Linked DNA regions of Pelodiscus sinensis. The protein of the gene in region 1 interacts with the protein of each later gene in a pairwise test. Links are inferred from orthologs where the notes say so. Each region holds a gene or a part of one and is shown in the gene's direction. Other genes may lie near its edges. The genes, in order: SEC22A, surfactant protein C-like, ERLIN1 and TMEM79.

Region 1 (7,680 bases):
GGTTTCTTACATGTTCATCAAAAATTGCTCCCCATGTTTTATTTCTACAAATCCAGGATTAATGGCACAGAAAATAAAAATACACTAACTTATCTCATTGCAGACTGAGATGCGGTGTGTGAAGATTATTTTTTAGAGACTTATTTTTTCCTTTTATCCTTAATAAGGATGTTATTGTGTAGATGACTACACAATTAACTGATAAACCTGGGCTTACCGGTTAATCTTGTTTACTACACGCATTTCTCCCCCCTGACCTTGCTGCCTCTGTATCAGAGGCAGCAAATGGTGGGGGCGGGGTGAAGCTGGAGTCGGTTCCCGGAAGGAACTAGCTTAAAAGCTGGCTCCCCAGGATCACTGGAGCCGCCTGTCCCCACCTCCCATGAGACAGAGCAGCGCAGAGGGTGTGTGGGGTGGGGGGGAAAGAAGGCTGGAGCCAATACGCATGGAGAGCCGGCTTTCAAGCCATCTCCCTGCATATACAGAATCCTTTGGACCTGCCTCCCCCTTCCCTTGCTGCCTCTGTAGTGGGAGTGGGGAGGAGCCGGTGCTGGGGGGAGCCGACTTAAAAGATGGTTCCCTCCAGTACCAGCTCCACAGTGTTGCTGCCCTCCTCCCCTGCGTAGGTGGGGTTGGGGCGGGGAGATTGCCGCAAAGCAGCCTCTGTCTGCAGTGGGCTCGAGCTCCCCGCAGTGGGCCTGAGTTTCCCATGGACAGAGGCTGCTTCACAGCAGCCTCCACTTCCCCCCATGCTGCTGCCTCTGTCCATGGGGAGCTCCCACGGACAGGAGCTGCTGCCTCTGCACTGCGGCCTCTGTATCAGAGGCATTAGCACGGGGAGGCAGGCAGCCAGTCTGCGCTGGGGAGCTGGTTTTTAAACTGGTTCCCCTTGCAGACCAGCTTCCACCTGCCATCCCATGCCGCTGCCTCTGATAGAGAGGGAGCAGCTTGGGTAATAGGGGCTCCCCAGGAGTGGAGCCAGGAGCACACTGGCTGCTGGCTCACCTCTGACTATCGAATAGTCATTAACCGCTAAAGATTCATGTGGTTACATGACTATTGAATTGCATGATAGCTAACATCCCTATTATTTTACTGTATTTAATTTTGTAAAGAATTATGGGATATAGTTTATAGGAAAGACATCATAGGCCAAATTCTCTAGTCTTACCAAACTGTGCTTGATGCATGGTTGAGGAGTGGGAACTCAAAGGAATAGAACCAGTCTCCTGCATAAATTAACCATTCACACCTGCTTGTCCATAGTTCCAATGGATATTACTCTATCACCCTAGGATCACTAGAAAAATTTAAAAAACAACAAATGCTTCTGCAGCACCTTAGACACTAACAAAAATGCAGATAATATCATGAGCTTTCGTGAGCACATCCCACTTCTTCATTGGAGTTATCCAGTCACCTGCCTACACTGAGGCCTGGAGATGATGGGGATGTTCAGTTGTTGCATTGGCTTTATCATATCTTGGGAATTCCCAGGTATCAAGTTAAAATGTATTTCCAGCTGCTGTGTGTGCTATTGGAGTAGGGCTGGAGTCACAGAAAAAAAGCTGTGTCTACACTGGCGTGATCTCACGCAAAAGCGGCCACTCTTGCACAGAAACTTGCTGCCTGTCTATACTGATCACATATTCTTGTGCAAGTAAACTGACGTTCTAATGTATAAAATCAGGGCTTCTTGCGCGAGAACTCTGATGCTCCTGCTCAGGAATAAGCCCTCCTGCGCAAGAGCTCTTCCAGAAGAGGCCAGTGTAGACAGGCAACATGAATTTCTTGCACAAGAAAGCCCTATGGTTAAAATGGCCATCAGAGCTTTCTTGCGGAAGAGAGTGTCTACACTGGCATGGATGCTCTTATGCAAAAGCACACGCCAGTGTGGACGCTCTCTTCTGGAAGAGTTTTCGCAGAAGAACTCTTGCGCAAAAGAGTTTTTGTGTGAGAATGCGCCAGTGTAGACGTAGCCAAACGTGGCTTGAAGATACCTCCCCTGCTTTCTTCCCACATTGAGTGCAACTCAGGTGACCCAGAGAATCTGACATATGATGCATTGCTTATCATTTGTATTCTAGAAGTCATTGCACTATTAAGTCCAATTGTATAGTTACATAATAAAAGAGAGAAATTAAAAGGTGTTAGCAATGGAGAGCGGAATTAGGGTAACAGCACATGAAATAAAGTTGTACTGAAAAGAAGGAAACACGGACAAGTAGAAGAGTATTATAAGAAGCAAACTCTCTTGTCACACTACAGAAAGTAGATTTACCTAAACATGACTCTGTCAGAGACTGGTAATGGACTGTGGATGGTTTTCAAATCAAACTCAGTTGCTTTGTGACTGCATTACCAGCTGATTGTGTGTTGGTCTGTGCGAATAGCGTTGTGTTGTATCAGGCCAGTCCTTGGTGCCTGCTACTGCTGCCGATGAGTTGCGGTTGTTGGTTGACTTGGGAGAGGATAATGATTATGTATACTGCGTTAAACATCACCAGGCACTTGAAACATTGCAAAAAGGATGGGCTTGGTCACAAGCACCTGAGGGAGCGTTAGAAACCCAAAAATTCCATGGGGAAGCCAACAGCTATGGGCATTTGTGGCAACTTCCCCCCCCCCCCCATCACTAACTCCATTAACATCACAAATTGCAGCCAACATGAACCATACCTAAGCTGACCGTACATCCCAATTTTTACGGGACTGTCCTGAATTTAAATACTATGTCCCAGTGCCCCATCAAATAGTGAAATGTCCTGGAAAGCCCTGTTGGACATTTCACTACTTGATGAGGACACTGGCATGGTGCAGCAGCCTCCTCCCCCTCCAAAGGGTGTATAGGGCAGCCAGGACACCTTCCCCGCTCTATTCCTCCCCCGACAGGAATGCCTCTACCACACAGGGGTCTGGCCCAGTGGCACCACCTCCTTCTCCTCTGGGCTGCCTTGGAGCCCCAGCAGGAGCTGCGTGGAGTCCAGCTGGGGCGCTATGGGGCCGGGTGCACTTGGGCTCGGCAGGTGCCAGAACTGGAGATGGGGCTTCCTGGGGTGCTATTTTCAGTATCGCAGTCCACGTATCCGTGGGCAGCCCCAGCTCAAGTCAAGTGGCAGCCGCACGAGGTGCATTCCAGCCGGGGCAGCCTCACTGGAACGTCCCTTGACTCTAGTAGGAGCTGGGCAGCCTGTGGGGACCCAAACTGCAGGACTAAAAATAGTAACATAGTCCCAGCAAGCAGTCCCACCCCAGAAGCAGCTGGGACCAGGGCTTCTGGGGCCAGACTGCAGGATCCAGCCCCACAAACTGCTTTCTGGAAGGCAGAAGGTGAGGAACGGGGCAGAGGGAGAACTTAGGGGAAGGGGGATGAGGAGAGGAAGGGGCTTGTGCTGAGGGGAGAGTAGGGGGCCAAGGCAGGAGAAGAAAGGGCAAGGCACTAAGGGGCAGGATGGAGGAGACACAAATGCCAGGGGGCCAAGAGGAGACAATGAGGAAAAGGCAGGAGGGGATAGAGGAGGGAAAGTGTCAGTGGGGATGGGAGAAGGGAGGGGTCAGGATGATGCCAGGAAAGGAAAGGGAGGAACAATGGGGGCAAGAGGGAGGAAGAGGAGTGGGGAGGAATGGGTGCCCGGAGACGAGGCATTGAAAGAAGGGGTGGGTATGAGGAAGCCAGGAGATGGAGCCAGGCATGTGTGAGGGCACAGAGGAACATGAGGGGAACTGGAGAAGAGGATAGTGAGGGGGTGGGCACCAGAGAGAAAGAGGGCAAGGAAGGCAGGGGCAGTGAGGGAAGGAGAGGGCACCAAGAAGGTGCAGGTGCCCGGGGAATGTGGGGATGAAGCAGAAGGGCAGATACGTGGAGGGGAGGGATGGGCACCAGAGGACTGAGCAGGTGGGTAGAAGGAGGTCTTAGGAGAGGGGATGGGGAGGGGTAGCTAGAGATGATCAGAGTGGGGTTAGAAGAGGAGTGGACACAGGGGGAAGAGAAGAGCTCGTGCATGGGAAGCGGGCAGTTTCCAGGAGGCCTGAGGGGAGTGAGAAGGGGTGGAGCCAGGACAACAGAGGAAGGTGAGGGGTGCGGGGCAGCAGGCACCAGGGGAGCAGTTGGAGCGAGGGACGGGTAGGAGACATGGCAGCAGAGGGAAAAGGGAGAGGTTCATAAGATATGTGTTAGTAACTTGGGTCCCACAGTGGCACACATCTGAACAAGTGCACATGAACTGGTGCACAAGATAAAATTCACTCCGCTCATGGGAAGAACATCTCAGAGGGAACACTCCCCCCCCCCCCCCAGTAAATGCAATTGCAGGATGGGAGGGGAGGGGGAGTCCTGTGGGGGCAAAGCTCATCCCTATTGGCAGAGTTCTTAGAGCGGTCACATGACAACCTTTACTTCTGGACACGTGTCCTGCTTGACCTCCAAGGGTGGAACGTCCTGTGGCAGGGGGCGTGGCTAAGGGGCCGGGGGCGTGGCTAACGTGTCCCTAACTTTGGTTCAGGAAATAGGGTCACTCCAACCACAGCGAAAGAAAAATGGCGGGGCCGCCGCCCCTGCCTCAGCCCTACACAGCAATGGCGGCCCAGCCCCCTTCTCTCCCCAGGGTCATGGCGGCCTCACCTAGCCACCCCCCCCTCCCCATCACCACAAAGCAACGGCCTCTCCACCTCTCCTCCCCCCCGCAGAGCGCCGTCCGGATGACTGCGCAGCGTCACGTGATCTCCCCTTGCCAAGCAGTTGGTGGCGGGCCACGTAGATGGTTCCCAGCATGCCTTGCGGCAAGGGGACGTGAGCCCTGCGGCCGATGCCGCGGCGCCGGTGAGGCAGGTAGTTCGACCCGCCCTGCTAGGCCTCCCTGAGCAGTTGCCTAGCAACGGACCCAGGCCCGCCTGGCCCCCCCCGGCCGGCCCGCAGGCGGCTCAGGTGCGGACGGGGGCCGGGAGCGGCGGCCTCCGAGGGCAGGGGTGGGGCCCGGCGCAGGTGGAGGGAGCGGGGGCTTCCCCCGGGGGCAGGCGGGAGGCTGGGGCAGAGCTCGCCGCAGGCCCTCCCCGGGGGCGCGTCGGGGGCAGCCGTAGTGGCAGAGCCGGGGCTGTAGGTTAAGCGGCAGGGGCCGGCGCAGCGCCAGCCTCGTGCGACCCACCTCAGGCGAGGGCGGCGCTGGCCAGAGCAGCCCTTGTCCCCCTCCCCTCCAGCAACTCCCCCTGGCCCTTGGGTCACTTTGCTTAAGTGTCGTCCCGCAGAGCCCCTGCCCGCCGCCGGCCGCGCCAGGATGTTAAGGGTCATCACGGTGACCGTTTTAAACAACTGTTTCCATCCCTATTCAGCATGGGGATGGGTCCCTCTCCCAGTGCCCAGGCACCAGAGTGTGGGGTGGAGGGGAGGGGAGGGCTGTTGCAGTGGAGGCGTTATTCCACATGTCCACTTGCCTTTCAGAGAGAGGGAGGCATGAACCCGCCTAGGGCCTCTTTCCCATAGTTTAAGCATAAGGTAGGCGCCTTGGCAAATGCTGCTCTCCAGAACAGCTATGACTTCTGTTTTCTCCCCACTTCTTACCTGGGCACGACACAGGTGTGTGTTGGATAGCTCCTGTAGCCAGTGTGTCTTAAATGAAGCTATTGAGGAGGACACAGTGCCCCTCTCCCATGAGTTACCCATAACACCTCAAGATCAGGTTAAGGTAATGTACTTTACCTGGTACTAGTTTACTATGGAAACTAGTACTGAACTTGGTTGCCTGCTTATTAAACATAATTTTGCAAGTGAAGCTCATTAGAACACAGTTACAGGATTTTCGAGGGCTATTAATAGACTTCTGCATCAACACCAAGGTTTTGGTGCAAACCTTCGAAGCATAAGTGCTCTGAGCCCTTGTAACCATAGAGATTTTGTCCCCATTCCTATGGTACTGGTGCAATCAGTTAAAATGCTCACTGAAGGTTCCTTGGTACAAACAGGATGAAGTTGGCGACAGGGTATTCTAAGTGGGGGTTCCTTAATTTTGGTGTGCATTTTTAGTCTGCCAGACGTTAGATAATTGTTAACCACTTGGGAATTCTACAAAACCCGTATCTTTTTCTCTGGTGTCCGAGAAGGGGCATATGGGCTGAGAGCGAGGGTTTAGGTTTATTTTATTGTCCTGGTTGTATTTGATGGTGTCAAGGTGGAAGGGGTAGCCCTTTATTTGTTGTATTTGTTGTGTAATGTATTTTAATTAATAAAATGGGCATCCAAAGTGGTACAATATAAAGCTTTTACGTAGCTAAGAAAATAAACTAGGACTGAAACTTATGAAACAGTTAAAGTTAATACACGTAACATGACACAAGCCCAGAAAAAGCAGGAAAATGAGAAATTAAATCACCTTACGGTACATCATAAGTGCACACCTTAATGTTATCATAAGTACTGTACTTAAATCTGTCTTCTGAATCAGCCCTTCAACATGCAATATGCATATCGCAAAGCCACACTGTTATTTGTGAATGTTTAATGTAATCAGTTTGTGTGTGGGGAAGGGGTAATTTGGAAAATGAGGTGCTGGAAGTCTAGCATCTGTTGGAGAGTAGAGACTACCCATTGCATCAAATCTACTTCACAAAAATTATCAAAAAATTAATTGTAAGATAGGCAATGTGGAGTATTTTTAAAAGTGGTGCTGCCACAAAGAATACTTGTCAACAGGGCAATTTAAAAAAATTGTATTAAGAATTATGCAAAGGAATCAAACAAAAATGCCTAGAAAATAGTCTATAAACTAATACTGTCACATTTCAAATTGAAATGCTATCTTTATAGAGAGGAAAAAAACAGGAATATGTACTGAACATACGTCTAAAGATGGAGTTGTAGCCATGTGCTTCCATATACACAATACACAATTACCAGTTACCTCTTCTCAATAAGAAGGATCTGGGATTAGGTCATGGACACTGCAATTGCACATTCCCACTTCCCAGGGTCCCGCAATGCAAACAGCAGCTTTAAAATGAGAATAGTGGAGTACTGTCCTTTTCACAAATTTGTGAAAGGTGAGAGAGTGTCTTGTATGGTTTAAAAAAGGAGAGGTTCCTTGAACTTAGAATAGTCTAAAGTAGAGAGTATTAGGGGAAAAATTACTAGATATTCAAGGAATTAGTTGCAAATTAATTGCTAAACTTTTGGATAGATAGATAGAAATGACACTTAAAGATAATGTTACTTTATACAAATATTTCTTGCTCACATTTTCCTATGTGTACATCAGCATTCCCTGTAAGATGAGTGCTTAGGTGGCCATCCTGGTGAGACTCAAGTGTCTCCCAGTTGATTAGCAGAGAGCCAACAGCCAGCAGCATGTATTTCTACTGGTGGTGCATACCTGCACATGCCTCAATGCACATAACAAAATCTATTCTGCACATAGAGGGGAAAACTTAGAGGGAAGATTGGTGCACATATGTACATGTGCAAAAAAACCTGCTTGCAATGGAGACTTTTTTTTTTTGTTGGCTGAGTAAAATGTCCCTTGGTTTTTAATTCTCATCATGCTGTTATAGAAAGAGTTAGTAGATTTTTATTTAGTGGTAAATGTTTATGATAGTTTTACAAGACTGAATTACATGCAGTAAAAATGTGTGTTCATTAACTTTTCTACATTCATATGTGATTTTCTTTTAAGTTAAATGACAACTTTTTAGGCA
Region 2 (7,283 bases), on another chromosome or scaffold:
TAGTGAGGGGGCTGGGAGGGCAGCAGAGCCAGCGGGTGCAGGAAGGGGGGGCCCCTGCAGACAAGAAGGGGGCCAGCAGGTGTCCAGGGGAGCTGCTTCCGGGGCCCCTATGTGCACACACATCCCCCTGCCCCCCCCCCCTGCCCTAGGACTTGAACGGGTCAAGCCAGGGACAAGGGGGGGGGAGCAGAAATGGGGTTTGCAGCTGGGCCCAGCCCATCTCTATTCGAGGTCAGGATGGGAGCTTGGCAGGGGGCGGGGGCAGGCCTGATGCATGTCCTGTGCTCACACTCTCACACACACACTCACACTCACACACAGATGCACACTCACACACATTCACACACACAAACACAGATGAACACTCACACGCACATGCACACTCACACACACTCTCATACATGCACGCACACACACACATACTCACACCAACACACACAGATGCACACTCACACGTACACACTCACTCACACACGCGTGCCCACACACACAGATGCACACACAGAGACGCACACTCATGCACACACACACAGAGATGCACACACACACACAACGCACCTGCACGTGCCATGCAGCAGATGCACACCCCAGACAAATAGGGGCACCGCCCCACACACATCGAACACACCCCGAGCACAAGCCGCCCTTCCCCACCCTGGCGATGGAAAAAAAGGTCTGTCCCAGCAGGGCCCTGCAGAGATCCAGCAGGGACGGGCGCAGAACAGAGGAGACTGCATCTCGTTCTGCCCGGGTTCCACCCCGGCCAGGGAAGGGGAGACCCACGGGCGCAGGGAGGGGCGCTGCGAGGTCTCTGGGGGGTGGCCCGATGCCACGGCAAAGGGCCCAGTCAGGACCTAGTGCTTAGTGAGAATCAGCTGTGATGAACACAGTGGAAGGAAAGGGCTGCCTAGGGCTGTGCTGGGGAGCTGCCCAGGAGGTGGCAACACAGGGAGAAAAGTGTTTGTGTCTCCCTCTCCCTACACACACGCACATGCTTACTGCCCTTGCACCAGAACACGCACACGCTTACTGCCCTTGCACCAGCATGCATACACACACTTACTGCTCTTGCACCAGAACACGCACACGCTTACTGCCCTTGCACCAGCATGCATACACACACTTACTGCTCTTGCACCAGAACACGCACACGCTTACTGCTCTTGCACCAGCATGCATACACACACTTACTGCTCTTGCACCAGAACACGCACACGCTTACTGCTCTTGCACCAGCATGCACACACATGCTTACTGCCCTTTCACTAGCATGCACACACACCCACTTACTGCCCTTGCACCAGCACGCACACACACACTGCTCTTGCACCAGCATACACACACTTCCATTTGTGTATACACTGAATTCGTTTGCACAACGCACACATTGCACCTCTGTGCACGTCCCGGATGATCAAAGACTCCCAGGGTGCACACGATGTGCGGGCATACAACCCCCGTCCCCGTGCTCACGCAGCCAGACGTGCACCGCCACACACACTGCCACAGGCCACGCTCTAAAAGAAAACGACCCCCACCCCGAGGGGCAGAGACCCCCAACAAGGCCGTGCAGGCACGGTGATCTCATGCAAACTAGCAGCTCCAGGATAGTCCCGACAACCTGCATGCACCCAGCGGGTTATTACTGAACACACATCACATAGATACCCCCTGGAATCCCCCCGTCTGTGTTAGCCAACCCACAACCACCCCATCCTCTTGCACCCCCAGAGAATGTGCTGCCTTTTGGGGAACCCCCAAGAGCATCAAGGACCCTCAGCCCGCAGATACCCCCCCCGCTTTCTCCCTCACCCCAGCAGAGGCTCCCCTAACCCCCCGTATCCCACCCGCGATCCCCCCTTGCCCCGCTCCCGGCGGCTCGGCCGCTACTCACAGGGAGATGACGTCCGGGGGCAGGTTCCTGGGCACCGCCTTGGCGTCGATGCAGAAGGCAGTGTCCCGGGTGCAGGAGCAGCTGGGGGGACACAGGGGCAGCTTGGGGGCTCGCTTGGAGCCCGCCGGCAGCCAGAGGTAGGCCAGGCTCAGCAGGAGGAAGGCAAGGACTCGCCCCCGCTGCATCACTTTGCCTGGCTGCAGCTCAGCCATCGCCCTGACCTGGCCTCCCCCACCTCCAGGAGAAGAACCCCCCCGGACCGTTGCTTCAGTTCTGCCCTGGACCCCTCCCAGCGCCCCTGGCCTGGCTGTCAAGGCCGGGAGCTGCAGCCAAGAGCCGGAGCAATCCGGGGAGCGAGGATGCTACAGTCCATCTTGCTGCTCTGCAGAGCACCACACTCAGCTGCCAGAGGGGGGGTGGAGCAGGAGTGTTTTGCTGCCGAGTGATTCGTCTAAGTTCTGTCGCTGCTGGGGATCTCGTCGGTGCACGGGGAGGGCGTGAGCCCATTGTGCACACTAGGGTGTGCACGAGTGTGAGCTGCCTGCACTCCCGCGCTTGCAGGGGTGCACGTGCTGCACGTGCCAGTGTGTGGGTGTGTGTCCCAGGTGTGAATTCTGCGCGCATGTATGAACGCATACGTGCGTCTCTCTGTGCGTGCGAAAAGTGAAAAGACACGTGCAAGAAGGCTGTGGTGAATGTTTGTAGCGTGTTCGTGGCAATGTGGTGTGTACACAAATATAGGATGGTGTGGTTCCTTCGCAGGTGCGGGGGTCTACCTGATGGCGCACGCCCGGATTGTGTCTGGATGGGACTGCGAGCTTCTGTGCGTTTGTGTGTGCTTGCACGAGCCTGAGTTTGCACATTCTGTGGGTGCTTGTGTGCATGTTCTGTTGGTGCGTGTGTGGACACACGCACGGAGGCCGGAGCACTTGTGTGCGTGAACACGTGTGCACGTGCACGAGTGTGCACTGAGTGCTCTTGTGCGTATCCGGAGTGCAGGGTAGGGCAGTTACCACACAGCCTCGTCCGCTGGCTTCTGGCCCTCGCCAACTCACCCTCCCCATCACGCCCCCCCTCCACGCACACTGAGACCTGCACCTGCAGCAGGATCCTCCCCGTGAAGCAGGGTCTCCCTGCCTGCCCATTTCCTTCAACCTCTGCCCCGCAGCATTCGACCTACCGCCGATCCCCTCCCCCATCGCCCTGGCAGCCACCTCCCCTGCCCCCCCCCCCCCCCCCCGTCCCACACGTCCTTGCGGAGCCTCCTGGATAATTCATGACGAGCGGCGAGCGGCACCAGCCAGCAGTGGCTCCGGTCCCAGGCACGGCCGTCTCCTGGCTCCACAGAGGCAGTCTCAGCTCTGCAGCTGGCGCCCCGGCCAGGGCACTGACAACACACAAACAAGGGGCTGGGGGGCCGGGCAGAGGCAGGGCAGGGGAGGAAGTGGGGCTGGAACTCCTTTTGGGGTGGGGGTGCTGAGCTGCACCCCGCCCCCACCACCCCGGCTGAGAACCGGCTGCCAACTCTCCCGGACCGGATTCCACCGCTGCAAACGGCGTCCGGTCCAGGAGAGCTGGCGACGCTCACGCCCCAGGCTGGGGGCAGCTGCAGAGCCCTGGGCCGACGGCGGGACCCCGGAGCTGGTGGGGCCAGTGGGCAGTGGGACCCCGAGGCCCGACAAAGCCCGTGGGGCTGGTGGAGGCAGGACCCCGAGGCCCGGCAGAGCCCGTGGGGCTGGTGGAGGCAGGACCCCGAGGCCCGGCAGAGCCCGTGGGGCTCGGGGAGGCAGGACCCCGAGGCCCGGCAGAGCCCGTGGGGCTCGGGGAGGCAGGACTCCGAGGCCCGACAGAGCCCGTGGGGCTCGGGCAGGCAGGACTCCGAGGCCCGGCAGAGCCCATGGGGCTGGTGGAGGCAGGACCCCGAGGCCCGGCAGAGCCCGTGGGGCTCGGGCAGGCAGGACTCCGAGGCCCGGCAGAGCCCATGGGGCTGGTGGAGGCAGGACCCCGAGGCCCGGCAGAGCCCGTGGGGCTCGGGCAGGCAGGACTCCGAGGCCCGGCAGAGCCCGTGGGGCTGGTGGAGGCAGGACCCCGAGGCCCGGCAGAGTCCGTGGAGCCAGTCCAAGTGCCCCAGCGCCCCCCCCCCCCCCCCGCGAGGACCAGGCGCTCCCGGCGAGGGCTCTCGCCAAAGGCCTTTGATGTGCGGCTCTTGCTTTGAACCTCTGAAGCACCTTCCGGTGCCAGAGGGGCTCAGAGGCGCGGGGCTCCGAGCCAAGCCTGGCTCTGGCCACATTGGCGGGCCGGAGACTCCCGCCAGCCCCTCGGAGCCGGGGGGACTCTGGCCTCGCAACCCCTGCGGTTGCGGCTCTCGGGCGCTCAAAGGCCCACGTGCCCGGAGACAAGAGTCCTTGGAGCCTCTCACCGGCCACGGGCCCGGGGCTTATCGGAGACCTGCCTCTGAAGGGCCCCGGGAAACAGGTTCACAAACAAATCCGAAGGGAATTAAACACTTGATGTGGAGCCGGGAGGGCCTGGGGAACGCCAGTGTCCCACCGCTCCTCCGCCCGCCTGCCCTCTGCTCCTCCACTAGCTCAAGCCCCTTATATAAGCCCTTCTCCAGCCACGACGGAGCACGGCGGGATCCACAGAACAAGATGGATGTGAGCACCAAGGAGGCGCTGATAGAGGCCCCGCCGGTACGGCAATGAACACAGGCTGGGCGGTTTTGCGTTTGTACAGCACCTAGCGCAACGGGGTGCAGGGCCACAACCGGGGCTCCAAAATGCTACGTTAATATAAGTAATAACGACTGGGGAGGGGGGTCCTTTCTCTCCAGCATACACCCCTCCCCCCTCCCCCGGTTCTGCTTGCTGTCAGCGTTTTTCTCCGTTCCCACAGGACTACACCGCCACCCCGAGGGTCCCCGGCTTCGCTTCTCGCCTCAAGAAACTCTTGATCGTGGTGGTGGTGGTCGTGGTCATCGTGGTGGTGGTGCTGGGCTTCCTCCTCATGGGGCTGCGTTTGTCCGAGAAGCACACGGAGACTGTAAGTGGGGCGTTAAAACACGGGTCCCCTCCCGCCAGGCGCCCGCGCAGGGGGAGGGGGGGCTGCTCGGAGCCAGGCCTGGTGCGGAGGGGCAATGCGCCAATGCGCCAGAAGCAGATGCCGCCGGGCACAGCGGGCGGCCACCGCATGGGGCTGGTGCAGCCACGCCTGGAGCTCAGGCAGCGGGGGAAATGCGCCCGAGCTAAGACGCCGGAGCAGCCGGGAGAAGAGGCTGCTCCAGCGCCTCCGTGGGAGCCGGTGGGGGTGTGGACAAGCAGAGGGAACCCCAGAGGAGGCTGGGCCGTTGGAGGACTAGGGTCTGTGGTCAAAGCAATGACCGACCTCAGCAAAATTTCTGGGGTTCCTTGGAACCTCAGGAGGTCACCTCACCCCCTGCCCAAAGCAGGACTAACCCCGATTCAACCATCCCAACCGGGGCTTTGTCCAGCCGGGCCTCAGACACCTCCCGTCTCTTTGCCGGCATGGACTCAGCAGGGGCGAAGGGAAACGGCGCATCTTCAGAGGCGCGTCCTCAGGCAGGCCCTGCCTTCCCAAAGCTGCCCCAGTGCCCCGGCGACCCAGGAGGGCTGGGGCAGCTCGGCTCCCCCGCTGCCTGGGAGCGCTGGGCGGTAGCACGGCATCCCCGGCCCTCCATGTGGCCAGGAAGGATCGGGCTAGGTTTGCCAGATGGTTTAACAAAAAATATCAAAACCCTCCCCTCCGCCAAAAAAAACAACAACCAACCACTGGGAAAAAATTCTTCTGAGGAAAAAAAAAGGGGGAGACCAAAGTTGTTAAGCAAAAAAAAAAAAAAGGTCACTGCAGCTTTAAATTCCTGCCCTTCTCGCTCCCCTGCCCTCACAAACGCCTTTACATGTCCAGTATTCTCTGGTTTTTTTTTTACCAGACAGAAGGCCAAAATACCGAACTGTCCAGGTGAAAACCAGACACCTGGCAACCTTAGATCGGGCTGGGGGTGGGAGGGATTGGGGGGGGGGGATGCTGAAGGGGCGGGGCCTCAGGCAGGAGGGGCGGGGCCTCAGGAAGAAAGGGCGGGGCTGGGGCTTGCCTTCCCCAGCTGGGTCTTCATCTGGCGCCTATGGTATAAGCAATGAACGGCTCTGGCTCTGGCTCCCCGCCGCACACACCTCACCCCGGGGGTGTCCTTGTCCCCTAGGTGTTGCGAATGACTATCCAGAGCCTGGACGGGGAAGGGTCCCCGCAGCAGCTCTCCATACGCGGGAAAGAAAAGACCGGCACTTTCTACGTCACGGCAGGGATCAACTCGTCAGCCACCGTGGTCTACGACTACCGCCACGTAAGCAGGGCCAACGGGGCAAAGCTGGGTGAGGGCTCCGGGGAGCGTCCCCGGCTCGGCTCAGACCTCAGGCAGGCTGGGACCCGGCTGGCCGCAGGCTGGAATCGCTGGAGGCGACCTCGCATGAGCGGTAGAGGAGCCGGGGTTACTTTCCGCCGGGCCCACATCGCCGTCCCAGAGGTACCCAGAGGTCCCAGTGCTGCACCCCAGAGACGAGCAGCGTAAACCCCAAGATCTGCGCGTGCCCCAGGTTTGGGGTGTTCCGAGTCCCACCGTGGGTTTTGGTCTTGCAAATGCAATCTCCAAGGAGGCTTGGATCCCGTTTCCAGCGACCCAGCCCCCCACGCTGCGGACAGGGACACATCGGCCCGGCCCTTCTCCAGCGGAGGGGGCAGGAGGCTGCCGGGCTGAGCAGAGGGGACGGAGAGGGTCACAGTGGGGGAAACAGAAGGGGCCGGTTTGCAGGGTGATTTGGCTCCCGGGGATCTGCCAGGGTTTAACGTCACCCTCTGCTCCGCCTGCAAACAGCTGCTGATTGGCTACCGATCCTGGCCGGGCCGGGCCTGCTACCTCCGCCGGATGGACCCGGAGAACATTCCAGGCCTGGATGCCATTGCCAAAGCCTTTCAGCACCGCCAGGTGAGCGGCCGGGGCCAAAGGGGGCAGAGGAGAGCGCGGGGAAGGGCCGTGAGACGTTTGTGAGAGATGAAAACCCGGCGGAGGCCGCTCAGAGTCCCTGGGAGACCGTCGCACCGGCGGGCTGAGCTCCCCCGGGAATCAGTCCTAGAGACAAACCCAGGAAGGAAGCAACCGGGGAGCATTTCCCGGCGCAGAGCTGGCATTGCCTGCAGTGGCTGCGGCCGGGAGCCCGCGGGGGCCGCTGTCTACCCCTCGCCTCCCTGCTTTCACTGCTAGGCGATGCTGCCTCTCTCCTGTGCCAGATGGATCAATGTATTGGCAAGGAAGGCTCATCTAATGTTTGAGCAAGGGGAGTGTTGCTAATGAGCATTATTCCCTCTCATTTTTTCT
Region 3 (7,531 bases), on another chromosome or scaffold:
GCTAGTGATTTGGGGTGTGCAACCCAAGCTCTTTAACGGGATTTGATTTTTTTTTTTTTCTTTCAGAGGGCAGGTCCTCATACTTTCTGAAAATCATGCTCTTTTAAAATGTCTTACTTGAAAATCTTGATTCTTGCCTGTCTCTCTCCATTACTCTGTCTATAAGGATAAATTGCTGTAACACATTTCAAAACCAGTTAGCCACAAAGCAACAAGTTCACCTCACTATTCAGTACTTAAGTTTGGTAAGTGAGGTGAACTTGTTGCTTCATGGCTAACTGGTTTTGAAATGTGTTACAGCAATTTATCCTTATAGAAAGAGTAATGGCAACAAAAAAGTGAAGAAAACTATACATTTCACATCCCCCACAAAGTAACCAGTAGTACACTAAGTGAGCGTCCATTCCCTTGCCTGCTGGTGCAGTCATTTACACACGTGCAAGGTGAGTGTACATTTTGCGCTGGTGTGAGTGACCAAGGATACAATACAATGGCAGTTCTCAAACTGTGGGTCAGTACCCCAATGTGGGTGTCAAATCCATTTTAATGGAGTCACCCTGACTGGCTTACACTTGCTAGGGCCTGGGGCTGAAGCCAAAGCCTGAGGGTATCCATGCTGTGTAGCTGGGCTCAGGTTACAGGTCCCCTGCCTGGGGCTTTGGCTCCCCACCTAAGCCAGCAGAGCTCAAGCAAGCTCAGACTTGGATCTCCCTCCCTGGGGTCATGTAGTAATATGGGTCAGAAGGGGTCATGGTACAATGACATTTGAGAGCCTCTGCAATGGGAAATTGGGCTCACTGGTGAACTAAGCACAAAAAGGCATATTTCATCTAGTGGCAAACTGAATTCTGATCAGTGAGATTAAAACAAGCTCTCGAAGGAAAATATATCTAAGTGTCTTCTGGGTCTGTGCTGCTTCATACACCAGAGATCACTACATTGGTTTTGTCCATTCTCAGTGTAGCCTCAAGCCCCTCCCACCTTTAAGTTACTCAGTGCAATTTCTGCTTGGTGCCATCCTCCACAAGCTTTCTTAAGTTAGAAATAAGGGGTGTGCAGACATTTTGCTATTCACCAGTAAGGTTTCCATCCATTAGTCTGCGCTTCTTGCATTTGATGTGTCTCATAGCAGAAAAAGTCTGCATGTGTATGTTGATCCAAAATTTGACATCTTATTGCAATGCAGTACTGGAGAACTAGACTATGGGTATTCAACCAAAGTTCTCATGTGCTTTTTCTCTTTAGCTGGTTAATTTCATCTTCATCCAGGGCACTAACATGAATTAATTACTTCTCAAACTTCCTTTTATGAACTCCAGTCCTTTGATATACTACTTCACACTTTCTCAGATGAAATTCAAATAGATTTGAGAACAATAAGAGGAAGGACTTCAGATCGCTGAGAAGAAAAGCAGTTCTCAAAACTCCCTGCTGGTGTAAACAGCACTTGTATGTGAAATGATGGATCATAGTCATTTCCTTGATCAGTGTGTTTCATGGGGGGAAGGGAGGGGCTTTTTCCAAATGTGGCAAGTGTGTGTCACATGAAGTGTCACATGCAGGTAACGGAGCTGACATTAACTAAAGGTGTAACATGAATTTTCTGACACTAGCATTTAGTATGAGCAAGCAGTGTTTTTTTCCCCCCCTTGCAATGTCTCATTCAACACCTTCAGGTGACCAGTTATGATAAAAGCTAAAATCCCATTTTTATTTTCTGACTTTGCGTGCATTTGAAATTTCTGAGCAAGAAACCCTTTGATTTCTGGTAGAAGTGCCAGGAAGAGGTCCAGTACTTCACCACAGGGTAACCACTGCACTTCAGTGTGCATGACAAGATCTTCATATTCTGTTTCAATTTGTTCCATCAGTTCCACAAACTGATGGTGATGCAGGGAGCAAGCATGAACTAAGTTAATAATCTGTATCACTTTGTCCATTACAGCTTTCAGTGTGTCTCCCTTGTTAAGTTTAGCATAGAGCATCTCTTGGTGTATTATGCAATGCACATTGCATATGTCAGGTACACAAGATTTCAACAAAGCCATGGCATTTTGCTGTCATGGAGGAGCGCCTATCTGTTGAAACTGATACCTTTGATATACCTTTTTTGGAACCAAAAGAATTGTAACTTGTACTCTCTTAAAATCAGTAACTGTCAGAGAAAATGCTGAGCCTTGTGCTCTCCCATTTATTCCCAAGAAATCTAAGAATTCTTCTGTCGTGTTCAACACAATGAATGCGTGTGCAGAGCTGAGTAATGTTATTAATATCTTTGCATTCATGCAGGGCTATCCTGATAGCCACACTTGAACATACAGTTATGAAAAACTAGTCTTCCTGATGATTTGACTTCATTTCTGTAAATATTGTAAACAATAAAATTTTAGTAATAGCGGTTTAGAGTCATTTTTGTTAGGTAGATTCTGGGGATTTCCCCATCCCAGGCTGCACCATCTTGTGGTAAAGGATTAAGATTATGCCTAGGATTCCACGCTTCAAGAATGGCATTTCTTGTCTCCGATCCTTCCTGGTCAGCAGTGATCATTTAGAGATACCTGTATTGCTTTGGAGACACTCACCTCTTCAAGTGGAATATCTACCATTCCTTTCCCCGGTAAGCCCAGGAATTCAGACTTAGGCAGCGTCTCATGGCTTGTGCTATAGGCCTCTCCTGATCTTGACCAGGCAGACCCCCCGTCTACATTGGTGGAAGTATTGAACATACCACCCAGCTGTACTGCCTCTCAGATGGGGGGAGCCAAAGGTAGAATATATTCCTGATTGAGTTCCTTGAGTATCACTACTTTACTTAACAAATAAAAGATAGAGGGGGGACTTGATTACAGTAAGTTAATATCCAAGTGGGGAACATTTTAATAATGGGCTTTCCAATTTAGTGGAGAGAGATGTAATAGGACCCAGTGGTAGTAAACTAAAGCTAGTCAGACTGGAAACAAGCTGTACATTTTTAACTAAGAAATTAACCAGTGGAATGACTTTGAGATCATAACCGATTTTTCCATCATTGGCTGTTTTTCGTAAGATCCATGCTCCAGGAATTACTCTGGAAGAGCACCTGGCCTGCAATAGGCAGTCTAAGGAGATGGCCATAAAGGTCCCTTCTGACCATGGAATACGAATTCAGGTTATCCCCTTGGCTGTTTGCTTTTATTGCTGAAAGATCTAAGGATCAGGCAGTTTCAACCCAGAATATTTCTGGGTGGATGTCAGGTTGTATGAAGTTAGGTTAGGAGATGGTCAATTTACAGTTACCCAGAAACAATAGGGACAGAGCCTTGTTTATAGGTTATTCCAACAGCTGATAATTGTAGGGATGCTATTTGTTTGTGAATATACATTCCTCTAATTATTGTGGAGGTGTCATGTGCTCACTTGGTTGGGACTGTATTAAAATACCTATTTAACTAGACTTGCAGTAGTGCCCTCTGCTGTGTAATAGACTCCCTGTGAGACCTTGGTTGGGGCTCCAGTACTGGTAAATCCAGACTTTGACAAGCCCTTTATGGTGTTTACCCATGCCTCTGGTGGCTGGGTGTGATGCTAATGCAGGTGGACAAAAAAAGGAAGAGATGCCCTATTGTGTACTTGAGCAAGAGGTTGCTGCCTTGCAAACAGAACTGTGTACTCATAGTGAAGGAATGCCTGTCTAGGGTGTGGGCTCTTAGAAAACTGCAGCCATATCTATTTGGGTGGCATTTCAAGGTGTACACGGACCACTCTCCCCTGACCAAATGAAAGGGCGAATACCAAGCTGCTGCTATGGAGTCTGCTCCTGCAGAATCATGACACAGAGGTGGTCCATGTTAAGGGGAGTGCTAATGTCATAGCCAATGCTTTATCACAGAGCAGGGGCCCCGAACTTCCCCAGGCCACTGGCTCAGTGCCCCTGCTCCGTTTGGTCTCGAAGGGAGAAGAGATGCGACAAAGTGGGGGACTGTGTTTGCTATGTTATTGTTATCTCTACTACTATGTTATGTTATCTCTATTACTGGGTAGTAACCCAGTGCATGTGCCTTAGTTTCCCTAGGCACTTCACCAGGAGTGAGATGCTGATGGGAATTTCAGTGTCGGTCTCCTGCAGGTACACAATGGATGATGCTTTCTGTACCCTGAGCCTCGGTGGGGGTGTCCTGTAAGCAGGACTAAGGCTGCAGAAGGGCTGGAGCAGGCTTTGGGGTGTTTTAAGTGGGGGGGCAGAGACGGGGCTCTGTTCTGCCTGCTGGCTGGCGGTCAGTGCTGGCTGCAGATGGGGGTTTGGGGCCCCCCCCACACACTGACACCACCCAGTGCCCCCCCCATTCAGCCTGGTTCCCCCTTGTGACACTGCACAATGCTACTCTGGCCCTGAACCCTGCCCAGCGCCGAGCCCCGCCCCCATACGTCACACACACCCCTCTGCTGAGCCCCGCCCCGCTACACCGCCCGTCCCCGGGTCGGATTCGGCCAGGGAGCGGTGCTGCACGACGCGGTCCGGGACGAGAGGTATTTTGCCCTCGCTGCTTTACCGTCCCAGGGGGCGCTGTGATTCTGTTCGGTGATTGGCTGGGGGAGGCGGAAGTAGCCGGGCGTGGCTGCGCATGCGTGGGAGTGATGTATTCGGTGGCTCGTGAGGGGCGGCGCTGAGCAGGTACTGGGGGCGCAGCGGAGACCTCCCCTTCCCCCTCCCCCTCCCCCTCCTCCTCCCGTCACGCCGGCTGGGGGGGGGCCCTCGCTGCGGCCCGGGGCGCTGCCCTCAGACTCCCCCTCCCCCCCCCCGAGCCGGGGAATGCGGCGGGGCGCGGGCCTGGTGCTCCCACAGGTCTCGTGGCGAGACTCCCGGCTGCGCGCGCGCGTGGGGAGTGTGGGGGGAGGGGCCCGCTTGTTCCGCGCGTGGGGAGTGTGTGTGGGGGGGAGGGGCCCGCTTGTTCCGCGCGTGGGGAAGTGTCTGTGTGTGGGGGTGACGGGAGCCGCAGTCCGTGCTCCTGGCTGCCAAGTCAGCGCTTAGGAAGCTGCAGCGGTGTCTCCTTGGGACACTTGATTTTGGTGGGGAGTCTGGCGGCGGGAGAGTGCCTGCCTGTTACTAGTAGGAGCCTTAATGTCTGCAAGGTGAACGGGAAATGGTCTGTTGGCGCTTGCTGAGAGGCGGTTAGTTATTACACCAGTTTCTTGATATCCTCCTAGATTAGTCGTGGGCTTGGTGGACACAGACCCCTTCTGCCCTGTCCCTTAGTCACGGTGGGTTTGGACTCTCTTACCCAGTGAATAATTCCGATGCTGTTCACACTTCTGAGCGTCCGTCTGCAGGGAGACTTACCCAGAAACTTGCTAACTTGATTCTGCTGCCCTTGGCAATTTCTGAGCAGCAGCTGCAGACGCCTTAATGCTTCTTTGTCTGCAGAAACAGGAAGACAAGACTCTGGATTATACCTGGCTTGTCTTTGCAATCTTGGCCACTAGAAATGTCACTTTTTCAAACCAAGGGAAAGCACAGACTCTGCAGGAATAAACGACTAATTTCTCCCTTGCCTGCCCTACACACTCACAAGTGGGAAGCTTTGGTTCTCAGCCATTTCTTATAGGGGCCCTTGGATCTCATATCTCTTTCCTGATTTGTACTAAGCTAGTCATGACTGTAGCCTTTAGTTGGGAAAGAGTGACTAGCTGGACACAGATTGTTCTAGGAAGTGTGTAGCTTGGTCCAGGTGAAGGATGTTTAATCACCTGGGCTGAATAAGGGACATGGAGAAATCTGCTCTGCACTTGGGCAACTGTGGGCACCAAAGGGAAAGTTTATTTTCTTATCCTGCTAGAATCTACGTGCTGGAAAACTTAGTTTTGGTTAGGGACTCTTACTACATTTAAAAGGCAGAACTGCAATTCTGCTGCACCTCTGCCTCCCCTCCCCGCCTCTCACACCAGCTGCTGCCTCTTCCCCCTCCCCTGATAGAGGCAGCAAGGGGGGTGAAAATGCGAGTAATCGACAACTCTCTTACATCTCTAGTTTGGGTTCCGTGAAATGACTATTTAGAAGTACATTGCCTTGCTGGCCTCATTCAGATTGCACGTTTAGACTCTTGCCTATTCCTTCCTGCCAAGAGCTTGCGCTGTATTTCCTGATCAAAGTCCAGTTTTTTTTCCAAAGTAAACAAGGCCAAATCTTAGCCAGTTTGTGCCTGTCTGAGAGAAGGGTAGATTGTGCCTACTATATTTTTTACAATGGCAAAAAAAGAACAGTCCCATAACACAAAAGCTCAAGGGAGTTTTCTCTAATACAGGCAGTCCCCGACTTACGTCGGATCCGCACTTACGAACGGGGCTTTCTCGCCCTGGAGGTCGAGGTGGCGGATTGCTACCTGCGAGCTCCGGGGCGAGAAAGCCCTGTTCATAAGCTGCTCCGGTGCCCCTGGTCTGCTGGAGACCGTCTCCAGCAGACCAGGGGCACCGGGCGGGTTCCCCGCGCTTCTGAGGCTTTGTCAGCCAACGGTCTGTCCCTTAAGACCGGCTGAAGTTCTTTTAAATTGTGCCTGGTTCTGTTACAGCAACTTAAGGAGTCAGGTTAAAACTTAAACAGTTACAGGTTTATTAAAGAAACTTATAAATCATATGGTTGCAATGGCTATTGTTCTATTTCTTAACTACTAGCAAAATATAGATCTTAAAAATGGTTACAAAGAAGATAAAGATAGAAAAATAGAAATAATGGTACCAAGTAACAGCTTACTCTTTCTATGTGTACACTTAAGACAGAGGACCACATCCAGGTACAATTTTTACCCCCTTCTGTGCCTCTCAACTCCAGCATGTCAGGCCAGGGCCGGTCCCTCAATTCCTAGGAAAGATGAAAATACGAGGTGGGCGTCCCCATAGAACCTCGGGAGGTCAAACACCTAACCTGACCAGCAGGTAGAGGGTAGAATGACACTCAAAGTGAGTGTGTGCTGGGCCCATCTTTTATACTCATGGGGTCACGTATTTCTCTTTCTTATCTGTCATGCCAAATGGGGCTGGTCTGTCTTTTGTGAGACCAGTTCTTACAAGGGAGTTGTGAACTTAATTTACACTTGTAAGGCTGTGTCCAGACTCAGGGTTTTTTTCGGGAAAAGTAGCCTTTTTCCGAAAAAACTTCACCTGCGTCTAGACTGCAGCCGCGTTCTTTCGAAATTAAATCGAAAGAACGCGGCTTTTCTTTCGACGGCGGTAAACCTCATTTCACGAGGAAGAACGCCTTCTTTCGAAAGTGCTTCTTTTGAAAGAAGGCGTTCTTGAATGTAAATAGGGCTTCTTCGAAAGAGAGCATCCAGACTCACTGGGTGCTTTCTTTCGAAAAAGCAGCTTGCTCTTTCGAAAGTTCCGCGTGCAGTCTAGACGCTCTCTTTCGAAAGAGGCTTGCAGTCTAGACATAGCCTAAGAGAGAGAACTAAATTGGAATTACTGGGGATTCTTTTCTCAGTGGGAAATTCCTCTTCCAGGGACTGTGTGTGTGTTCGAATCAACATAGGTGCCAGCCGGTGGCAGTCTCGCATATCCT
Region 4 (7,691 bases), on another chromosome or scaffold:
TCAGTAACCATGCATGGTGACACTTAAATGTTCATGTCTAATTTTGTAAGCAAGTAGTTTTTAAGCAAGCTGAAACTTGGGGGTACATTGATGAATCAAACTCCTGAAAGGGATATAGTAATCTGGGAAGGTTTAGACTGTACTCCCTTTGGAGCAGGGACTATCCCTTACTACGTGTGTGCACGCAGCTTAGCACAACAGGGTCCTGATTTCAGTGGAGGTCCCCAGAGTAACTATAATCTACTATATATTTGAGAGAGATTGTACATCTGTCCATCCATCTGTCTGTGAGTCCATTTGAAGACCTCCTCCTAAACGGTAAGAGCTAGGACCAACAAATTTGGTAAGCACCTTCCTCTGATCATAACTTAAAGCAAGATCAGGGTTTGATTTTGCCAGGACACTGGGATGTGCCTGGAATGCAATTGCTCATGAAATGGAAATCGCCATTTTCGCGATCGGGGCTTTTTTGCTCAAAACAAATCTGAGCTGTCTACACTGGCCCTTTTGCGCAAAAGCTTTGCGCAAAAGAACTTTTGCCCGAATGGGAGCAGCCTAGTATTTCCGCAGGAAGCACTGATTTCAGACAGTAGGAAGTCAGTGTTCTTGCAGAAATTCAAGCGGCCAGTGTAGACAGCTGGCAAGTTTTTCCTTCGGAGGAAAACCAAAAAGATTAGGGGGCTACAGCACATGACCTATGAGGAGAGACTGATGGATTTGGGTTTGTTTAGAGTGCAGAAGACTTACAATTTACAGTGGGGGAGCTCTCGGTTGGATATTAGGAAAAACTATTTCACTAGGAGGGTGGTGAAGTACTGGAATGAGTTACCTAGGGAGGGGGTGGAATCTCCATCCCTAGAGGTTTTTAAGTCTCGGCTTGGCAAAGCCCTGGCTGGGATGATTGAGTTGGGATTGGTCCTGGCTTGGGCAGAGGGCTGGACTTGATGACCTCCTGAGGTGTCTTTCAGCTCTAGGATTCTATGTGCTTCTCACCTGACCCCAAGCTGCTGTACTGAGAGAGGACTGGGATTGTCCTCTCTCCTGAGTGAAGACTGCATGCTGAACCCCTCATCCCCCACCCCAGAGCTTTAAATGAAGAAAAGAGTTAAGGACTCGAGCAACGCCAGGTAGATCTTCTAGTTCATAATGTAATCAGTCCCTAGGAAATCCACTTTGTATTGTAAGCCACACAAGCCTTCTAAAGTTCAGGGTAGATCAGTGCTAGGAGATGGGACCCAAGGGAGCAGAATTCAAACATATGTTTAAAATATGTTAACAGGCTGAATCAATGGGCATTCCACGTCCTAAGTAAAGTTCAGTTATCCACCCATTGGGCAGTGCTGTGATGGGATGGAGTGAAAGAAGCTAAATTTGGAATTTCTTTTCTGGAGTATTTAATTGCATACATTAATTTTGATCATTAGATCCTAAACGTAATCTGATGATGGGTTTTGGGGGGTGGCTAGGATAAACAGTAGCCACGTTAGGTCTATTCCCCCATTTCATTTCACTAAATTGCTCCACATCAAAACAAACCTTGGTGTGCTTGCTTGGCGAAGTGGCTGTGGATGTGTATTATCTGCTTCTCTCTGCCGCCAAGATCCTTGTGAGTTGTTCCAACTGAACAGAAATATTGAGAGCCCCTGGCTGGCTTCCTACGCTACGCAGATTAAGCACCCAAACTACTGTCCAATCCAGGGGTTGGTACATAGCGCAAACTAAATATTGATCTAAGATTCTGACACTGAAGTCAGCATTTATCCTGATGTCACATGTGCCTACATGCACACAGAGTTTATATTACACAACACACACCACACTTCTATATGCATACAGGCAGATCCACACGCGACAGCTCTAATGCCTGTAGCTATCACATTCACACATTTTGCTTTCAGCCTATACGGATACACACAACATACGACACACTTTTATCCACATAGAAAAACCCCCACACAGAAACCACATTTACACACCTATGCCTATTACATACACAACATATATACTTATATGTTCCCTATCCTTACACATATATGCACCAATACACACAGACACCACGTGGCACACACACACACTGCAAATGCACCAAACAGATAATACACACACAACGCATGTATATGCACACACACATCAAAGACACATGTGCAAACAATCCAGTCACACATACCCATGAACAGGAAAACACAACACACAAACCTGAATGCATAAGACAACACAACTATACACCACACTGACATCCCTTCACAACATGAGTATACGTAAGCATGTTAAATAATAAATAAATAATAATAATATATACTTTTATAAAAGGAGAAGCATCCGTCATACTCTCTGTCACAGAGAACATTTGAGAAGACTTGACAAGTTTCATGGGGAAGGCAGGACCCTAGCCAAAACTCCACCCCCTCTGCTGAGGCCCCGCCCCCACCATGGACAGGGGAACATAAGAACATGAGAACGGCTGTACTCAGTCAGACCAAAGGTCCATCTAGCCCAGTATCCTGTCTGCCGACAGTGGCCAGCACCAGGTGCCCCAGAGAGGGTGGACCGAAAACAATGATCAAGCAATTTGTCTCCTGCCATCCCTCTCCAGCCTCTGACAAACAGAGGCCAAGGACACCATTTTATCCCCTGGCTAATAGCCTTTTATGGACCTAACTTCCAAGAAATTATCCAGCTTCTCTTTAAACTCTATTATAGTCCTAGCCTTCACAGCCTCCTCTGGCAAGGAGTTCCACAGGTTGACTACACGCTGTGTGAAGAAGAACTTTCTTTTATTAGTTTTAAACCTGCTCCCCATTAATTTCATTTGGTGTCCTCTAGTTCTTCTATTTAGGGAACTAATAAATAACTTTTCTTTATCGGCCCTCTCCACACCACTCATGATTTTATAGACCTCTATCATATCCCCTCTCAGTCTCCTCTTTTCTAAACTGAAAAGTCCCAGTCTCTTTAACCTCTCCTCATATGGGACCGGTTCCAAACCCCTAATCATTTTAGTTGCCCTTTTCTGAACCCTTTCCAAAGCCAAAATACCTTTTTTGAGGTGAGGAGACCACATCTGTACACAGTATTCAAGATGTGGGCATACCATAGTTTTATACAGGGGCAGTAAGATATTCTGGGTCTTATTTTCTATCCCTTTCTTAATAATTCCTAGCATCCTACTTGCCTTTTTGACCACCACTGCACACTGTGTGGAAGTTTTCAGAGAACTGTCCACAATAACTCCAAGATCTCTTTCCTGATTTGTCATAGCCAAATTAGTCCCCACATACTGTACATATAGTTGGGGTTATTTTTCCCGATGTGCATTACTTTACACTTATCCACATTAAATTTCATTTGCCATTTTGTTGCCCAATCACTCAGTTTGGTGAGATCTTCTTGGAGTCCCTCACAGTCTGCTTCTGTCTTGACTATACTAAACAGTTTGGTATCATCTGCAAACTTTACTACCTCACTGCTTACCCCTTTCTCCAGGTCATTTATGAATAAGTTGAAAAGGATTGGTCCCAGGACTGACCCTTGGGGGACACCACTAGTTACCCCTCTCCAATCTGAAAATTTACCATTTATTCCTACCCTTTGTTTCCTGTCTTTTAACCAGTTCTCAATCAAGAAAGGACCTTCCCTCTTATCCCATGGCCATGTAATTTACACAAGAGCCTTTGGTGAGGGACCTTGTCAAAGGCTTTCTGAAAATCTAAGTATACTATACCTACCAGATCCCCCTTGTCCGCATGTTTGTCAACCCCTTCAAAGAACTGTAATAGAGTAGTAAGTCAGGATTTCCCTTTACAGAAACCATGTTGACTTTTGTCCAACAAATTATGTTCTTCTACATGCTTCACAATTTTATTCTTTACTATTGTTTCGACTAATTTGCCCGGTTCTGACGTTAGACTTACCGGTCTGTAATTGCCAGGATCGCCTCTAGAGCCCTTTTTAAATATTGGTGTCACATTGGCTACCTTCCAGTCATTAGGTATGGAAACCGATGTAAGGGATAGGTTACAAACCACAGATAACAGCTCAGCAATTTCCCATTTGAGTTCTTTTAGAACCCTTGGATGAATGCCATCCGGTCCCGGAGATTTGTTAACATTAAGTGTTTCTATTAAGTTTTTCTCTTCCCGGGAGAAGGAGGAGCAGCGCACAGAGCGCACACAGGCCCCCCACCACCACGGGGAGGGGAAGAGTGCAAGCACGTGCCCTAGCATCCCAGGAGCAGTGGGGAGGGAAGAGGCTGCACAGCCCCATCTATCCCCGTCCCCGGGAGCAGCAGGAAGGGAGGAGGCAACGTGGCTCCAGCATCCCCGGCCCTGGAGCAGTGGGAAAGGAGGGGGCCGCATTGCCCAAGCCAGATCAAGCCTCCCCACCCCCATGAACAGCGGGGGAGGGGGAAGGCCACGTGTATGTCTACCGTCGCAACGGGACGGGTAATAAAATAATAATAATAATAATACACTACTACTGCATGACTCAGACACGTATTACACAAACAAGCCTGCACAAGACATGGCTGCAGCACAGAGACATGCATACACAACACACAGGCACCACACAAACATGCACCCACCCCACATGCACAACACATGCCCACAACCTGTGGGAACAGCCTTTTCTGCCGACGGATTCAGCAGGTTGGGTGAGGCAAATCTGCCTCTGCCCCTTTAATTGTAGCCACACCTTGGCTGGCTAAACAGGTTTGAAGTCCAGGAAAAGGAAAGAAGCCTCAAACAGCGATCAAACCCCAGGACAGCCATCCGCAAAACAGCTCCGTTTCCACATGGCCCGGCTCAGCCCAGCCTGCTCTCCAAGTAAGCAGCCAAGCAGGGAAACCAGCTCTCTGCTTTGCTATGCTCATTTTCTCTTGCAGTCTGGTGGAGTGGAAGGGTTGTTCTGAAGAGGGGTACAGGGAGTTCTCTGGGGGTGGCGGGGTGTATGTGTGTGTGAGTGAGAGAGAGAAAGAGAGAGAGAGTGTCAGACTACTGCTCGGTGCCTCGGTTTCCCCATCTGCAATGTGGGGACAGTGCGCCTGCCCTCTTTCGTACGGAGATCTCTGAATGAAATGTGCTATGGAAGAAGCTAGGGACTATTCCTGGGTGTGCAAGATACAAGGCTGTCCCTACTGATAGGCAAAACACGCACCACAAAATTTGGGCCCCCAGTTTCATGGTGTCCTCTGCAGCCGCATGCTGTGTATGGGCTCCAGCCACCTCCAGCCCCAACCCCCAGCGGCAGCAAGCAAGGCTCAGCACCCAGGCCCCACTCACCAGGCGGCAGCAAGCAGCTCTCACGGGCTGGGGGACTCGGAGCAGGGGGCAGCCGCACAGTGGGCGGCTGGAGAGACGAGGCGCTTCCCCCGTGAACGTGCTGCTTCTCTTTGGCCAAATGCGCGTCCACCCGCTGCTCCTCTGGAGTCTCCTGGCCTGCGCCTCCCTCCCGGCCCTGCTCCCGCTTGTCAGCTCCACCATCACTACAGTAAATGGCGTCCGGTCCGGGAGAGGTGGCAACTCCTTTCCCCTCCCAGGAGGGGTACCAGTACTGGGATGCATCGAGCACCAGTACGGACAGCCCTGGCAAGAAACGTGTCAATACTTTACTTGTGGCTTCTTTGACACCCTCTCCTTCCACCGCTAACGCTGTGGCAGAAGGCATCGCAAGTGGCTCTTAATCTCCCCCGTATTGAGCCCCACATGGACACGCTCCTATGTCTCTTGAAAAGCAGCAGGGCTAGATCCTCCGCGGGGGTAGCTCCCAGACACCGGCTGGGAATCTGGCTCCCCAGGGATCCCTGACGGGTGCACAGAGTTCAACATTGGGGTGAATAAACTAGCTCTCCTCCTTGGCAGATCTCAGCCAATCCAGGAGGGGCTGCCAACATTTCCCGGCTTTGCCCCCATGCGTAACACGACAGGGGCCGTGTCGCCTCCCAGTGCCTATTCTCTGCCAGCCTGGGGGACATCATTTCAAGAAAGATGTGGAGAAATTGGAAAGGGTACAGAGAAGAGCGACAAGAATGATTAAAGGTCTAGAGAACATGACCTATGAAGCCAGGCTTCATGAACTGGGCTTGTTTAGTTTGGAAAAAAGAAGATTAAGGGGGGACATGATAGCGGTTTTCAAATATCTAAAAGGGTGTCACAAGGAGGAAGGAGAAAATTTGTTCCTCTTGGTTTCTGAGGACAGGACAAGGAGTAATGGGCTTAAAGTGCAGCAGGGGAGGTTTAGATTGGACATTAGGAAAAAATTCCTAACTGTCAGGGTGGTCAAACACTGGAATAAATTGCCAAGGGAGGTGGTGGAATCTCCCTCTCTGGAGATATTTAAGAACAGGTTAGATAGACATCTGTCAGGGATGGTGTAGACGGAGCTTGGTCCTGCCTTGAGGGCGGGGGGCTGGACTCGATGACCTCTCGAGGTCCCTTCCAGTCCTATGATTCTATGATTGTCTCCTCTCCTATGGGCTAGCCTACTTCAATCTCCTTTCAGTTGCTGGGATTGGTGTGCGGGTGGTATCGGTGGCCCGTGAGATACAGGTCAGACGAGAAGATCTGGTAGGGGTCCCTTCTGGCCTGCACCTCTCTGACTCAGTGGTATTTTAATTATTGGTCTGCTGCCTGCAGTTGAGAGGGGCCTGCCTCCCAGCTCTTGCAAATCAGCATTCAAGCCACTCCCTCTAAGGCTGGAGAGATTTGCACGGTGTGTGTGCAGCTCAGGGACGCACTAAACATTTTTGCTCCTCCTCAGTTTAATAAATGTCCCTCCAGGTAAGCTCATGGCTATCGGCAAGTATTTACCTGCCTGATGAAGCAAAGGGCCCTGTTAAACTGGATGGGCTTTGCCAGAACTTCTGAAAATCAAGCCCTTCTCTTTTAACTACCATCCAGGTTCCAGAGCCCCAAAATTTGCATCTCTATTCCCAACATTCAGGGATCTTTATGTTCAACCAATAAGGGGCCAGAGCATAAATGCAGATTCCAATTCAGAAGTGTTTTGGATCCAAGATTTAGGTTCCAAGAAGGGATGTTAAAGACTAGTCGACTAATCCACTAGCCAATAAGCATTTGCTTATCGGATAGTCTTTTGACTAGTCGACTAATTGATTTCTCTGTCCCCCTTGCTGCTTCTATGAGATAGAGGCAGAAAAGCAGAGGGGAGGAAGGGGTACTTCAAAGTGGCAAGTGTTTCACCCCAAGGCAGTGTTTCAAAGGAGCAGCAGCTGCACAGATGATCTGTGGATCAGCTGTGCGGCGGCGGCCACTTTAAAATGCCATTTCTGGCATTTCAAAGGGGCAGCTGTTGTGGAGCCCAGGTCCAGCTGGGCACTCCCAGCTGACTCCAGGCTCCCCGCTGCATTTCCCCACAACCCGGGATTAGCTGGGGAGATCCCGGGTTCTGGAGAAATTCCGTGCAGAGCCCGGGATCAGCTGGACAGTCCCCAGTTGACCCTGGGTTCCACTGCCCCTTTGAAATGCAGGGAGGTGGCATTTCAAAGGGGCAGTGGAGCCCAGGGTTAACTGGGGACTCCCCAGCTGATCCCAGGCTCCGCGCAGCACTTACGCAGAACCTTGCACTTCCCACGTCCCCCGCTGACCCCGGGATCCATGGCTTTGAAATACACAAGAGCCCTCGCAGGCCGCAGGGGACCCTTGTGCATTTCAAAGCAGGCACCCGCGTACAGC

Evidence for each region.
Region 2: the proteins of SEC22A (region 1) and surfactant protein C-like interact in binary tests that used the Homo sapiens proteins (3 or more experiments, as listed by UniProt). The two-hybrid records come from large-scale screens. The link is inferred for Pelodiscus sinensis from reciprocal best matches to the Homo sapiens genes SEC22A and SFTPC.
Region 3: the proteins of SEC22A (region 1) and ERLIN1 interact in binary tests that used the Homo sapiens proteins (3 or more experiments, as listed by UniProt). The two-hybrid records come from large-scale screens. The link is inferred for Pelodiscus sinensis from reciprocal best matches to the Homo sapiens genes SEC22A and ERLIN1.
Region 4: the proteins of SEC22A (region 1) and TMEM79 interact in binary tests that used the Homo sapiens proteins (3 or more experiments, as listed by UniProt). The two-hybrid records come from large-scale screens. The link is inferred for Pelodiscus sinensis from reciprocal best matches to the Homo sapiens genes SEC22A and TMEM79.

The regions. Positions count from the first base shown.
Region 1 is NC_134717.1:9,377,611-9,385,290, forward strand, and holds the start of SEC22A (vesicle-trafficking protein SEC22a), read left to right. Parts: upstream 1-4,676; 5' UTR 4,677-4,828; exon of another isoform or gene 4,829-4,924; intron 4,925-5,569; exon of another isoform or gene 5,570-5,678; intron 5,679-7,680. UniProt on the Homo sapiens protein: May be involved in vesicle transport between the ER and the Golgi complex.
Region 2 is NC_134738.1:11,604,143-11,611,425, reverse strand, and holds the start of surfactant protein C-like, read left to right. Parts: upstream 1-4,266; 5' UTR 4,267-4,404; coding exon 4,405-4,587; intron 4,588-4,789; coding exon 4,790-4,936; intron 4,937-6,113; coding exon 6,114-6,254; intron 6,255-6,782; coding exon 6,783-6,893; intron 6,894-7,283. Other genes in the region: LGI3 (leucine-rich repeat LGI family member 3), read right to left, coding at 1,895-2,106. UniProt on the Homo sapiens protein: Pulmonary surfactant associated proteins promote alveolar stability by lowering the surface tension at the air-liquid interface in the peripheral air spaces.
Region 3 is NC_134718.1:7,017,812-7,025,342, reverse strand, and holds the start of ERLIN1 (erlin-1), read left to right. Parts: upstream 1-4,518; 5' UTR 4,519-4,651; intron 4,652-4,725; exon of another isoform or gene 4,726-4,822; intron 4,823-7,531. UniProt on the Homo sapiens protein: Component of the ERLIN1/ERLIN2 complex which mediates the endoplasmic reticulum-associated degradation (ERAD) of inositol 1,4,5-trisphosphate receptors (IP3Rs).
Region 4 is NC_134734.1:16,208,442-16,216,132, reverse strand, and holds the start of TMEM79 (transmembrane protein 79), read left to right. Parts: upstream 1-4,673; 5' UTR 4,674-4,823; intron 4,824-7,691.